Lonchura striata: one gene and its partner. The protein of the gene in region 2 interacts with the protein of the main gene of each other region in a biochemical or structural test. Links are inferred from orthologs where the notes say so. Each region holds a gene or a part of one and is shown on either strand. Other genes may lie near its edges.

The links.
Region 1: the proteins of APBA1 (region 2) and CNTNAP4 form a complex in vitro, tested with the Homo sapiens proteins (2 studies listed by BioGRID and IntAct, with this or other methods). The link is inferred for Lonchura striata from reciprocal best matches to the Homo sapiens genes APBA1 and CNTNAP4.

Annotation. Positions count from the first base shown.
Region 1 is NC_134642.1:9,352,932-9,360,425, reverse strand, and holds the start of CNTNAP4 (contactin-associated protein-like 4), read right to left. Parts: upstream 3,074-7,494; 5' UTR 2,766-3,073; coding exon 2,669-2,765; intron 1-2,668. UniProt on the Homo sapiens protein: Presynaptic protein involved in both dopaminergic synaptic transmission and GABAergic system, thereby participating in the structural maturation of inhibitory interneuron synapses.
Region 2 is NC_134642.1:71,715,231-71,723,272, forward strand, and holds the start of APBA1 (amyloid-beta A4 precursor protein-binding family A member 1), read left to right. Parts: upstream 1-4,770; 5' UTR 4,771-4,853; intron 4,854-5,117; exon of another isoform or gene 5,118-5,291; intron 5,292-5,458; exon of another isoform or gene 5,459-5,565; intron 5,566-5,794; exon of another isoform or gene 5,795-6,659; intron 6,660-8,042. UniProt on the Homo sapiens protein: Putative function in synaptic vesicle exocytosis by binding to Munc18-1, an essential component of the synaptic vesicle exocytotic machinery. May modulate processing of the amyloid-beta precursor protein (APP) and hence formation of APP-beta.

The DNA of each region.
Region 1 (7,494 bases), about 62 Mb from region 2:
GAATCATTTTATTCAAAAGAGGAATATTGCAAATTTTTAAGACAGAAATAATTTTAAACACATCAATTTTTGATCTAGGAAATTTTCTTCGGACTACTGACTTAGTAATATTACCAATAACACTTCAAAATGACTTTTAAAGGTCTTTGATTTTGTCTTTTCTTACTGGGCGCTGACCTTAAAGGCAAAGCAAAACTTAAGTATTCAGGATCTAATACTACAGAAAGAACCATAAAATTAAAATGAGAAAAAATATTAATATAGAAGGAAAATTAAAACCTCGTCCTATTGTGTTTGATGATTGGCAGCCTACTGAAAAATCTAGCCATCAAAATTCATTCAAGACATTCAAACTTTACCTGATTTTGTAAATGGGTTTAAGTACATTAATGCCAATAGTAGAAGCACCTACTGAAAAAGATTTCAATTCCTGGTTAACACTACAAGAAAAAAGGAGTAAAGTTCAAGTAAGTAGATAATGGCTCATGCATGGATCTACCATAATAAGTAATTATGAAAAACCTTTTCTCCTAAGGTAATTTTTTTGAATTGTAATATGGTAACAAAATTTGTACCATAATACTTAAGATGTAAACTGTCACTTCTAAAACAAACTACCTCTTCTACAGAAATGTTCACTTCCAAAATAATATATATAGGGATTTTTTTTTCACATTAGATGTTAAAAATAAACAATATGCTTTATGCTGGCCAAGTTTTCTCCATAGGTTAGTGTTCATTGTTTATTTTAAATAATTTAATTTATTTTTCCCATAATAATGTAACCTGCCTGTAGCACGGGCAGAGTTCTTGTATTTTCAATTCAGATCAGTGTTTTGACATAGTAGTTAGGATTTATTCCTAAATAAAAATACTTTGCATTTAAAAATAGTAGCATATACAGGAAAAACTCTGTTATTCAATTCAACCATTTGACATAGGATTTTGCCCTGTTTTTGAGATGTAGCTGAGAAAGTGAATAGGTAGTGAATGTATTTTATACTTGATTTGTTTCATCCTTCAGAATTCTATATTGGAAAGAAGCTTGAGCCTCTTCCTCAAACCTTGCTTCCGAGATTGTAAGAGTGACCTCTAGTGCTTTACTGCTTTGCTGTGTGATGCAAGCTTTTCTTTGCAATGGTTTTAATATGCCTCCCTGTAAGGAACTGATTTAGTTTCGTGCATAGTGCCAAATGCTATTAATGTGCAATTCAATTATCATGGTCTTGTGAAAATGGATGTATTCATAAACTGTACAATGCAGAATGATGAAGAGAATTAAAGCTGTGACTGGATTGCAGCAGGGTGTTTAACATGAGGAACTTAGTATTCATGTTTAGGGCTACACTATGCACTTGAGTATCAAATGAGATATCATTACTGAATGACAGCACAAGATCATTTTGGTGCTGCAGTGTGAATGTCTGGCTCATGGGAGCATGTTTAGTTTACAAACCATCCATATGCAAAACCCTAGGCTATAGATCTACTGAGCACTTCAAACTTCTCTGCCATTGCTCAAATGTTTCTAGGGAGCTGTCCCCTGCCACTGGGCTATAAGGTTGTTCCTGAACATTCCTCATTGCTTTGGCATGCACTTTCTTCCCACAGAAGCATTACTTCAGCCCTTCCCATTCCTGTGATGCACAACCAGTGCCTTAACAGGAAGGGGAGAAAATATGTTCAATTCAGGTTATGAGCATCTGGCATTTAGGCTACTGCACTACCACAGAACACAAAATGAAATCCTCCAGCTTGTTGAAGCTGAATCAAATGGAACAAAAATAACTCAGTTCTATTACTGAATTATAAAAGCCCTGAAAATTAATTTCTTAATAAGTTTTTTCCTTTTTTATTTAAAGGTAATTAGTTTAAATCAATACCGGAAACAGAATTTTTTCAGGTACACATATATATGTGTGTGTGTATGTGTATCTATCTTTCATCTATGTATATATGATTTGCCTCCTAGAGAGCAGATTGTCCTTAAAAATGTAATCACAGTCTTTATTCTGTGATACCACTCTATGGGTTAACTCATTAAAAAAAAACCAAAAAACAAAAAACAACCAAACAAAAAACTTTCTATTGCAACTGTTAGCATTCTCTTCTGTAGTCATGCATGAACAATACTCCCTAAGCAATCAATGCAGAGACCTTAGAGCCTTGCTACCCACATTTTTCCTTGTTACATTTCTACTGCTTTTGAACTGCACTGTGATTGCCATTCAAGTTGAGTGCCAGCTTAATCCAGGATATGCAGATACCAGCTTTCAAAATTTCCAAATGCTAAAATCCACTACACAATAGAAACATTGCACAATAGAAGTCTGCCAGTAATTTCCACATAAGACACAATTCCTTGGAAAATACTGCACTTCAAAAGAGAAAACAAAATTAAAATACATCTGAACATGCATCCCTTAGAAAATGCTGCTTTCAGATACTCTTATACAGTAAGCTTTATAAACAACATTCTGTACACAGACTCATGACAAAAATCTATAGAAGAGTTTTAGAAAATTTTTAGGCTAGCAGCTTGATGTCATGATTTCAAAGCATAAATGTTCATCTCAAAAATTATATTTATTGTAATGCAAAAAAAAAAAAAAATCCAGAAGTTTTCAACACACTCTGGATTGAGTTTTAAAGCATATGCAATACTTACATTTATTCCCTGCCACTGCCATGTGCTGGCGATGAACAGACAGGAGAAAGAGCAGCTTCAAGAAGATTTCAGTGACAGAATCCATGTTCACAATCATTGAGGCACCCAAAAGAACCAGAGTACTCGGAAACAGCTGCGCTGTACTTCAGTTCTGCTCCTGCCTCCTTCCCACTGCCTCTCCCCGCCTCTTCTCGCAGCGCTTCCCAGGGGTCTTGCACCTCAGCCAAGCGCGCTCCGCATCTCCTGCCGCACGCACGCTCACCTCCGCATCTGCTTCTCGGTCTCGCAGCAGCAAGCCGGGAGGAGCAGCAGCGAGAGAGCGAGAACCTCGCCCCCAGCAGTGCCACAGAGGCACCGGGGCTTTGCCGGCAGCCGGCTCCGCTCGGCGCTGCCGGCTCCGCTCGGCGCTGCCGGCTGCGCTCGGCGCTGCTGCCGCTGCGGCTCCGCGCGGCGCGGACACCCCCGGCGGCGGCCCCGGGGCGGCGCTGGGCGCTCCGCCTGCCCTGCGCCCCTGCGCCCCTGCGCCGCCGCTGCCTCTGCGCGCTGCCCAGCCTTTCCCCCGCCTAGCGATTTTTATTCCTTTCTTAATTTTTTTTTTTTTTTTTTTTTTTTTTTTTTTTTTTTTTTTTGTACAAGTTGCGAGTTCTGCTCTCTTAAAAGGAAAGCGGTTTGCTGCCTTCGCTTGAGGAGCGAGTGATTGGCTGCCCCTCGGGAAAAGGCACCACCACTGTCCCTGCAGGGCTTTATTAATGCTGGCATTAAAGAGTTATATTCTCAACTCTTAAGAGTAAACACATAAACATAATATAAACGTATGATTGCACCTGTCTTTCCCAAAATACTTTTGCCCCCAAATGCCACATAGAGCATTTTACTTCCTATACTTTCACAAAGTATAGGAAGTAAACCCTCCTATTCCTTGTGTTTGGGAAATAGCTTCATTTGAGAAAGAACTTCAGAGGAATTTTAAGTCATTACATTCAAACTATAATTTAAAAGTGTATGGTTTTTTGGGGGGTTTTGTTTGGTTTTCTGTTTGTTTGCTTGAGTTTGCTTTGCTTTTTTTGTGAAACGGTCTGAGTTACTGTATATGCTAACATTATTTCTCAAGTGTGAGAAATATGACTGCGTATTAGCAAACTCATGACATTAGTGAGGGTAAAAGCTGCATTAAAGGACCACATCAATGGCCCCATCACTGCTGCTTCTGCAGTGTTCATGCTGTATGCACTGCCTATGTTTTGGCAGAAATTACAATGACAGTATGAACCTGCATGCGTTATGACTGTGATATATATCAAAAGCAGACTCAGCATTTGCATATTTAGTCTAGTGGTCCAAATTTTGTATTCCTACTTCATTTGAGCTATCTACCAGCTCCTGTGTACCAACGGGATTATTCATCCTAAGTGATACTGCTGTCTGTGGGTTAGACACAAGGTATAATGTTACTGAGTGTTCCCTCTTCTGCGTTGCAGAAACTACAGACTTTTCTGCAAATTGCTATGTAGAACTGTTTGGTGTCAAGAATAACTGTGGGATAGAGACAAAACATGAATTAAGCTCCCTTAGCTTCTGAATTTTTGTTGATTATTTAAATCCATTACCTTGTCCGCTGAAGGATATTCTTATTCATCTACACAAGTAAAGAGTAAAATGTGTTCTGGTTTTATGCTACCAAAGCCAAACTGTGTTAGGTTTTGCAAAAATGTATTTCAGCTCAGCCGAAACAACTAAAAAAAAAAAAAAAACTTAGAAGGCAAGTTTTTGTTATATCCTTTCAAAAGTAGCAAATCAGCATGATTGAGACAAAAAGGCCCATTTCTAAATTGCTATATTGGGTAGAAAGTTTCAAGTGAAGTTAACAAGCTATTATGCAGCTGGCCTTCCACTTCTCCATGTCAACTTTTATTTGAACAAAAATGCGTGAAGAAACTGTATTAAAGATTATGTGAATCATAACCTGCCTTCCAGCTCTCCTAAATCAACCTATAAATTCTACATTCTGTTTCCAGAGTTTAATACAACCACAGAGTCACTGTCCAGAAGCTCGATTTCTTTGCTATATAGTTCCTTGAGTTAATATTGACCTTCTAACTAAATTAATATGAGTATTAAAATGTTCCATGTGCTGCATCCCATCTCTAAAGAATATCCCATGAGATGGTCCTTGACTCTGCAGCTAGACAAAATTTCATGCTTAAAAATAGGACAAATATCACATAAAATCTTGGCAAGGACTTTCAATGTAGTGATGTTCTTTAGGATTAGCTCTAAGATCCCCAGGGCTTTGAATAAGAAAGAATTATTATTCTGGTAATGTAATGCAAATTCAGTAAAAATGCCAATTCCATTGTGGGTAAATATTTGTTTTCTAAAATAGCTTATAGTCATAAAAAATGAACATCTAACAGACAAAGGTCATAGAATTTTCCTTTTTTTTTTTTTTTTTTTTTTGGACTGTATTGCATGCAAATATACACATGGATATAATGTACTTTTATAATTTTGGAAAAGCCAGTCTTAGAATAAAATGGTATGCCAAAACATGTACATATGTTTCTGTTTGGACAGCTAGAATTACAGAAGTCTATACAGTATGTATCTGGAATATCAAGATAATCATCTATTTATCCAAAGATGGCTCTATGGTATCTGGCACTGGTAAAGTGCATAAAATAACATAGCTTGACTCACAGAGAATATTGCAACCTCCTCTTTTCTTCTGCATCGTATCTTTCTCCTGCATCCGTGAAATATTTCTGCTCACATAATCATATCTCTGTATGCCAGCATCTCGTTTGCCATTTCTCTTCCTTACAGCATCCAGATTTTTCACTAACTTCTGAGCTCCTCTTTCTGGAACTCATACAAGTCTCTCTGTTTCTTACAAGCCTATTTTCCTATTGTAATTTTTAAATTTCCCCCACTCTGTTTTGTTTTTCTTCTCATATCTTTCTTTTGAAATTTCCCCCAAACACCAAAAAGCTTATTCATTTTATTTGCCTTTGAAATGCAACATTATGACCACTTGATTTTATAGAGAATCTTTTCCAATTGATCTTCATATATTCTATTTAGAAAGACTGCAAATTCCCCAGAAGAATTGTATCTTCTTACAAAATAATCCTTACAGATAAAACATCTGCAAAGTTTAGTTGTTCAAAACTTGAATTAGTTGATCTGGGTATTGCCTGCCTTCATTTACAAATAAAGGACCTTCTAGTGAAGTCCTTTTTCTAGCAGACGGAAACTAAATTATTCCTCTTTAAATTATTTACACTGTGACATTTTGTCTATAAAGAAGAAACACTTTTAAATTCACACTAACCATAGTCCTGGTATTATTGCAATCAGCTTATAAATTGTAAACCAATTTTAAATGGCTTACAATTAATAAGCAGATTGCTTTTATATAACTTTATTTATTATAAATAAATAAATATATATCACTTTTATTATAACTTTAAAAAGGACAGTTATAAGCACTTTCTCCTGCTCTGGTACAAAATCCACTTTACAGGACAATTGTTTTCAGTGTATCACAGTTGTTCACTATATATTATTTAATAACAACAAAATAATAATTTGGTTGCAAAGCACAAAAATAGAAGTATGAAAAATCTATGGAACACATACTGGCTGACTGAGAATATTTGTTTTATTCCCTCCCAGTAAATTCCTCATTCAAAGACATCAACCAAATTAGAAATTAGCTATTCACTTACTTCTTCACCTCACCCTTCACTAGCTCAGCTCCATCAAGCTCACATTTACTATCCAAGTAACAGTGATACTGCAACTATATTTCAGGAGACTGGAAATAAGGATAAAAATTTTAAACGTTTATGTTCATATTTTTTCTGCTTAGTTTTCTTGGTCCCCTCATCTGCATCATGGCCTTGGTTAACCCTCCTTCCAGTGCCACCTGCTGCAGTTGTATTGGTATTACAGGTTTCTCTTTACAGCATCTAGTCGTATAATGCAGCTGGAGAATGTGTCTTTTTAATGCAATAGAATTCTTTCATTATCACGTAAAATCTTCCCAGTACTATTCCCAGCCCTGCAGAAAAACACTGCTGTAATTGTCTGCAGAGACTGCAGAGAGCAGAAATGCTCAAAGACAAATATAAATCAAAAATAAATGAACAGAAACACATAATGCTAGGTACACTAATAGTGATATTTGCAATGTTTTTAAGCCATTTTTAAAGAAAAAATAATTATCATATCCACCTTAAATTGTTACATGTATTTTTTAAATCATATATCTCTATATAGTAGGTATGACATAGAGTAAAAATTGATTTTCAGAAATAAGAGTAGCGTTAACTACTAGTCTTAACAATGTTTTGGGTTTCTTGTTTTGGTTTGTTATTTTCCACTAGGGTCAGGATAGCACAGTTTGTCTTAGTGCAAAGCTGCAAATTTTCTTTCAGGCTGTATTTGTTAAAAGGGGAGGGGACAGAAGCCATCTGTGTATGGCTCATTTTACTGCTTATTGCAACTACACTTATTGCACCTACACTAATGACTACATTTAGGATTTAAAACATTTTTTTTTCTCAGGCAATACACAGAACACAAACCAGAGCAGACATGGCTCCATGCACCTACAGAAGAATTCATGTCTTTAGCACTGTTGTGAATCTATATTCGAATGTTGCAACAAGACACATGGCTACACAGAGAGTTCTTTGGCTGCTACTCTCGGACCATTCAGGTTTTTCACCTGAAAGGGTGCTGTGAAAATCCTGGGGACAGCTTTCTTTCTGGGTTTGTGAAAATGTTTCTTGGTAGCCCTTCTCATTTCATAGCCAAGAATT
Region 2 (8,042 bases):
AGTTGCACTTAGTGATTACTTTAGTAATGGCAATGATTACCAAGTGGAGTCAAACAGAAGATAGGAAGAGAAAAATTAGTCTTGGCATTATCATTATCCACTCTAAAACTAAAAACCTACATCTTTTAATACATGCAGGCATGAAGCAAAGGAAAACTAAATGATATCTGAGTTCTTCAGTGTTAGCATGTCTGGGTATACATCTTTAGCTGTATGGGTCTTGACTGCTTTAAGCCAGTGAGATTTCTCAACAGTTCAAACAAGCTGGTGAAGCCATGAAAATTTAGTAGCCACCGATAATCTGTTGATCTTAATTTCTTTCCTCACTGGGGTGTCTTTGCTACTGAAGGACAATATGGCTTTCTCTTAGGAAACAAGGAAGAAAGATCTCTCTGTGCATAATTGCTGTCTTTACAAGGTGCTGTCTGGCTGAGTTTTATGAGTAACTGGTCCCTTTTGTACCCCTTGCTGTCTACCACTGTCCACTACTTCCCCATCCCCACTCCTGCTAATCCTTCACGTGTCTGCACAGGTACACCAATTGCCTTGGACACCCCAGACCGTTAGGTTTGCATCCTCATCAGTTGCAACATTTCCAGTTTACCTGTGGTTTTTTAATAACCTGTCATTTAGGTTTTTTCCTTGTCTTTGCCTCTGTTAGTTCATCTGTTGGGTTTGTGTCTCTCTTTGCTGGGTTTGTTGCTCCCCCTTTACTTGTTATGCCCTTTGGTATTGAAAGGTCCTTGATCAGATACCTATAAGTGAGCAGAGACTCTGTGCCTATACATAGCCTTGCACAAACAGGTTTGTTTCCAAGAAGACTGAAAACCTTGCTTCAGTGTAGTTTTTTTTTGTTTGTGTTTTTTTTGGGTGTTTGTTTGTTTGTTTTAATCCCATGACAGCTAGCTTTACTCTTTATTTTCTGAAGCCTTTTCACTTTGACTGGAAAAGTAAAAGCTTTCAAAAAGTCCTCAAATGAATAATGTTATTAGGGCCTACAGTCCCGTGAAACACAGACTGTTCAGTTGGGTAGTGCTTGAATTGAATTAATACAGAAATTAAAATTCACTTTCCATCTGTTCATGAGATTTGAGCAGTAGTTGCAGTTTTCCCTGTAAGATAGTGCAACAAAAACAAAGGGAAAACTGCAAGTACTACTTGAACTGAGTAATTAGAGGAAAGGGTGGCAGAGCTGAGAAGCAGTTTCTAAGTGACTGTAATGAGGATGGAGAGGGAACAACATGAAATCCCCTTCTGTCTAGAAGGACTTTGGGTTGTTTTGGTCAGCAGTTGGTCTTCAACTGATGAAGAGAACATACTTGCATTAATTAAGTGTATCCACTAGATTAAAAATAGGGATGCAGACTTAAATGCTTATTGATACACAGCAAGTCAAAGCTGGCTGCACTGAGTCATAATTAGGAGTATGAAAATGAACTGGGAAAGTGTCAGTTCTTTACTATCCCTGCTAGCAGAACTAACCACTGCAAACTTACCATCTTACGGGTTAAACTGCCAGATTGCACAGGAACAGAAAGTAGCACTGGTACAACCTGTTGATGAGTCTGGACATTGAGGGGAGAGAAGGCAAGATGCCTGTCTCCATTTCTCTCTGATTAGGCGTTTCCATAAGAGAAGCAGAAATATAAAATTTATCTTTCTTTACATTTGGAGGGCAAATTAGGGGATGAGACACCTACTGAATGTATACAGAAGGAAATATGGGCTCACCACCCCAAAGGAAAGTAACACAGAGCATGAGACACCTGCTTTATCACTGTGCAGAATGGGCAGACGGACCTGCTTGTCTAGAAACCTCAAGGCTGATATCCTTTGTGAAGGATAAAAGCTACTTTATGGCTTCTGTGAGTCTGGCTATGTCAGTGAAATTGAGACTTCCTATGTCTAGTAGATACATATAGTAACTAGTTTTCAAGATATTATCATATTTCTTTTTATCTCCATTTTTTATTTTCTGAATCAGTGAATATAAAATATAATCAAAGATAAGACAGAAGTAGCATTTACAGAATAAAGTGTTTGATTTCTTCCAATACTACCTTAAAGACTACACCTCTCTAAGTGATAAAGAAGAGCATCCTCCTTGTGCACGTGGAGATTGCAGGAGTGCTTGGAAGTTATATTAAGGTATCATTCCCTGGCATGGAAAATCACTGCCTGTGGAACCTAAGTGTTTCTTATGCTGCTAAGGAGTTACAGACAGATTGGATGAAGGCACAGTGAAATTTTATATGGGAAGTCAGAATAGTTGACAAAATTGGATTTTTATGCTTGAAAACCATAGACGTGATTCCATGCTGTTCACTTAGATATTTCAGACCAAGCAGCAAGTAAAGAAGATAAGATGGTTGAGTCTGGAAGATACTATTCATAAAACTGGCTTTCTTTAGTTTATTGATCCAGTACCAGAATTTGAAAACATTTTGATTTCTGAAACCCGCCTATTTCAGTACCACCAAGCACCCCAGTAACAGCCTACTCCCTTCTAGCAACAGGTAATGCTCAGACCAGTACAATTAGTGATTAATGCATTTTGAGATGTGAAAGCTGTAATCCTAAGATTTCAGATAGTAGAAAGCATTCATTTCCAGCCCTTATGGGTCTTGAGCTATCTGACCTTAAAAATGTCAAGCTTGCACTTTTCTTTAAGTCTGTGAGAGCTGTTTTGCTTTTGGCCCAAGCCTGAAAATAGTATCACACAAAGCTAAGATCATTGCAATGTCTAGTTCCTGAAAACACATAGAAGCTGACTGGATTACTAAACTAATGTAGGAAAAATGTGTCTGAGCTGCCTGGGCCAAAGCTTTTATCTAGGCTAATGGATATATAAACAGCAACACCCACCCCTTCCTCCTCCCTACCCTCCCTATGACCCCCCCCCCCCCCCCGCCCCCATACAATGAAAAAATGGGTTCAGTGTAAATAGTGCTTTTTACCTAGCAAGATTCTCTGAATATGCTAGTATCTGGCTGCTATGTATTTGTCACTGATTACCACAGCTTCTTACAAAGCTGTCACCTTCAGAAGGTTATAATTTAATATCCAGCAGACATTGTTGATTCATCTGCAGTGCTACTTGATTTTATAAATGTTACAGATTAGTCTTGGTGATTTTCCTACTGGTTTTTCAGTTGGTTTTAATTTTCTAGATTGAAATTTCACTAAATAATCATGATAATGAAAACAAGAGCCTGAAGGTCAATGCTAGTGCAGCATTAACAATACTAATACTGTTGCATTCTAACAGTGTCTGTCTCTTCGGGTTCACAGACAACTTGTGTGCTAGAAGAACTGTCATCATGGGCTGTGAAGCACAAGCGTTAATTGGAGCTTTGTGAGAAAAATGCGTTTAGGACATGAAACTTCTCTAGGATATAATTTAGCAGTCATTGAGACTGCTATTGTTAATATTTTTAAACTATAGCAATATAACAGTAAAACGCAGGTCGGAGGGGACCCCTAGAGGTCACCTGAGCAAACGTCTCTCTTAGAGAAGGACAAGTTTAGATCCCATTCGGGACCAACTTCATTACTTTGAGAGGAAGAACAGGGGGAAGGAGCTTGATTGCAAGTTAAGTGTTTTGTCTAACGAAACTCTCCAAGAATGGATAGTTTTGGAAATCATGCATATTCTATACACCTTAAGTCGTGGTAGCCCGGAGTTATTCCAGAGCCATATATGAAGGACATAGCAAAGAAGGGAACAGACATGGCCTCCAGGCTTATTTGTTTTTGCTACAAATGTTAGATTCCTCCAGAACAGGATAGAAAAACAGTGATGAATAGAAACTATTCATAGAAGGGAAAGAAATAAAGTGTTACAATGTATTAAAAACAAAGGAAGGGATTTTGATAGCAGTTGTCTAAATAATAAATTTGTTTAATTCACTTTTTAATTCTTTAAAACATATTTTTTCATACTCTCATTTTTCAAGTCTTCATTTGGAGAATACGGTAGCATTTTGGCATTGGGCGTTTAAACATGCGGCTGTGCAATGCAGAGTGACTGAACTACATTGTAACAGGAGAATAGGTGGTGTTACCACGAACCAAAAAGTATCTATCCACCAGAAGGGGGAAAACAGAATTTAAATCCAAACTAACAGCAAGTTATCATAGTAATTAGTTTGAAGCCTTTACACGCAGGTTACTTTTGATAGTTTGCAGTGGGATTTGCCTAAACACTTCACAGATGTTTAACACAATGTGTTCCCTAAAATGATAAATTAACAATAGTGTCAAAATGTGCCAATTTAATTTGCCAATACTACAACTTTTAAGCAGTTGCTAGGTTTTTTAAAGTCCCCTGGCATTTTTTTTTTAATGGTTAGGTATCAATCTGGCTGTGAAAAAGTAACTGTATTTCTTCTGATAGGTAATTTTGTTTAAATACGATAAAAGCAAGACACTATGTGGAGGAGTTTAAGATATTTTCTGCATGTGTGGAGTCGCTGACGCAGTTAACTACAAGAAGGAGCTTGGAGAAGGTATGAGATACTTTACAGCTGGGATATAGATGCACGCTAAGGTCCAACACTTTGTGTTTGTGTATGTGAACACGGGTGTAGTATTTTGGGAAAGAGGCACTGCCAAGCCCTTTCTAGCATAGCAGTAAGCCTCCGTGCAGGCTGCATGCACAATTTGGTGAGGTGTACTGCACCTCGGTCATTGTAGCTTTCCCCCAGGTGAGGAGGACGACCGGGGCCCGCTCGCAGCGGCGATGAGGCTGCGGCGCCTTGGCACACCCACCCTCACACTTCCTCCTTGGCGGGCGGAGCCTCCTCCCTCCTGGGCCACCTAGGGGCCCGTGTCCAGGGAGGTGAGACGGACAGGTCGGTGCTCTGCAGGGCGTCCCTCGCTCCGAGCTGCCCGGGGCCGGCAGCCGGTCCGGAGAGCGCCGGGCGTGTGACCGACGAGGGGCCGGGCCGCGCCGCCCGCACGGCCGCGCTCCGCTGCGCCGGGAGGCCCCGGAGCAGCCCGGCCGAGCCGCGCCGAGCCCCGGCCCCGCCGGGCCGGCGCCGCCCACGCCCGTGGGGCCCGGCTCCTGCCGGGAGGGAGCGGGCGGGCGGGCGGGCGCGCTGACGCGTGAGGGCGGTGCGGCAGGAGGGGCCGGCCCGGGCGGTGCTGGCGGCGGCAGGAGGAGGAGGAGGAGGAAGAAGATGGTGGCCGCGGGAGGAGCGGCTGGCTGCTGGGCTCTCTGCCCTGCGCTGCATCGCCGCCCCCGTCGGAGCCACACTGCCTGCTGAGGAGGCGGCGCGGACCCGCACCAGGTGCGGAGGGGAGCGGGAGGGGGTCCGGCCGGGCCCCCGCCGCGGCGCGGGTGTCGGGGAGGCAGCGGGCCCGCGGGGCGGGTGCCCGACACCGCGGGATGCTGGCCCGGCCCCGCCCGGCGGCTCCTGCCCGCAGCGGGGTGCGGGCGCTGCGGCGGGCTCCGTCCGGCTGCGTGGGCGTGCGATCTCCGAGCCAGCGGGGCAGCTCGGCACCTGCCCCGCGCTGCGGAGAGCGGCGCCAGCGCGGCCATGACTGCCTCCATCCCGGCCACCGGCAAGGCGTTGCGTGCTTCCCTCTGTTTATTTATTCCATTATTTTATTTGGTGGGGGTGGGATGTGGCTAGAATAATGCTGTGTGGAGCCGTGCATACCCCAGTGCACGGGGTTGCTTTTTTTTTTTTTTTTTTTTTTTTTTAAGATTTATTTTTCCCTACGCACACCTTTCCTATGGTGGATAGGAGAAATGGGGGGCGCGGGTGGGAGGGGGCAATGTGGGGATTTCGCATCCGGCGATCGAATGGTCGCCGTCGCAGCAGGACGGTCTCGGCAGCCTCTTGCGTCGGGAGATGCTGCCGGGGTCTGCGGCCGCGTCCCGCTTTGCAGCAGGGAACTCAAGGGGGGCCTGGATCTCCCCGTCCTCCCCGTGGAGCGTGCTCTCCACCCCTGGGCTGGGGGGAAGGTGACATCTGCTACCTTCTCGTTCTGGTTTCAGGAAAAGGAAGGTGTTTTTTTTTTATTTTATTTTATTTTATTTTATTTTTTTTTTCCCCAGGAGAAGCTGTTTGATAACAATGATTGCCTGAATCACAGTCGTGGCCAGTGCAGCCGTATGCATTACATCTCTTTGTAAGGATCAGAGTCAATAGGAGCAGTCTATCAAGACTTGTTTTACTGCTATCATAAATCTCTTAAAGAGAGGTGGGGCTGTGGGTCTAGGGTGGAAAACTATATCTTTTTGCTTTCTCCTGTTGTAGATTTTTTGGGCTGTGGGATTGCAATTTGGTTTAGAGAGTAAATTGCAGATATGGCTGTTTTCATAGCTGCTGAGGAACTGGAAGGTAGAGATATTTGCCTGACTCTGCATACATTAAGAGTGAGCTAATGTGGGTGTAGGGCAGATCAACCACGTAGCATTTTTCTTGTCTTTGACATGCGTCACGTTACACCAGCTGGTAAGAGTACACCCAGATGGCTGCAGTTTTGTGTCTGCTCTGCAGCTGTGGCCCATGGGTCCCAAATAACTTCCAATATTCCAGTCATAGTATTCTAGGTTCTGCTGCATTGCTGTTAAATCTGGACCACCTGCACCTCCCTTTCCAGCCCATATCAGGAACAAGCATGTGATGCCTGCCTATTCTTCCCAAAAGGTGATGGTGACATAGAATGTGTTTATTCTCTGTGTGCTACCAAATCAAAACTGAGGTGCGTGTTTACCTTTGTGTCTAATGCTGTGGGAGGAAGGAGCAGGATAGACTGTCCGGAAATGCTGTTCAGGAGGGAAGGAGAACAGTTACTGTTTAATTCTGTGCATTTGTGTGTGTTTGTGCAGAAAAATTAAGTGTCAGGTGAATGATAAGGCATGATCACAAGAAACTCTGAAAAAGCAGAACATTAGTGTTGTAGTGCACCTTAGATGAGTGTTTTGGATGTTTAATGAGTGAAATGCAAACCTTAGCAGAAGACAGCTTGCCTTCCTTGGAAAATGTGGTCTGAGATTGGTATATCAATGAGCTTTTAGGCCAAACTGATTTCTACAATGTAATGGTGGTTCAAGGTTGGCTGAGTACTGTGATTCATGTAATTCATTGCTCTGAGTTTTGGACATTTCTAGTTGTAGCTTAAAATGATACTTCTATTTTACATTAGTGCATTATCTTCCATTAAAATGGCAAACTTTCTGGTGACTGTGCTGTCTTTTAACAGATGCAAGGCCAGACTATCAAAAGTATTTACAGATTAGCTCTTCAGTTAAAAAAATGCAAGAATGCTGGGAAGGTGATTTGATACATCTAGGTACATAGAAAAGATAGTTTTGGTTTGTTAAGAGGGAGACATGCCAAAGATTTTGAGTAACCATTTGGTTACTTAATTTGAAATCCTTTTCACAATTTTCCTGAGTTGATAATTTAATTCTCAATCCTCTGTTTATGACAAGTTTGCAATTTCATATCTGTTGGGAAAGGAATGCATTCTGTTTTTTTTTTCTTTGTGCTTTCTTTTTTTTTTTTTTTTAAATTTAATAGAATTGCCTTCATGTATTTAAAAAATGAGAGCTAATGCTTTAGAAAAAATTTTGTGATACAGGATGTAGTGGCATCGTGGATGCCAAAAGTGAGAATCTTGGAGTCCGCCATGCATTTTTTATTTCCGGGCAGGGAACGTGGGTGTAGGTTTTTGAAGATATAAAACATCTTAAAAATGTGAAGATTTTGTTTGCTCTGTGGTAATGTAAGTAATCCATAACACTTTGAATAAAGGGAGTACTAATTTTGAGGCTCGAGTTGATCTATCTAAATAGGAACTCTTTGCATATGAGATTTGAATGGATTTTAATTGGACCAGGAGCTGGCTTCTAACTTCTTTGATACCCTTTTAACCCACAGTCATATGCAATCCTTATGTTCTTAAACTCAAAAAGCCTTCAAGATGAGGACTGTCCATCTTTGAAAGGTAGATAACATTTCTTTCTATAAGCAGTGCTTATTAGCACTACAGCCAGCCAAAAATTCGTGAGGGTAAAACAAAATGCT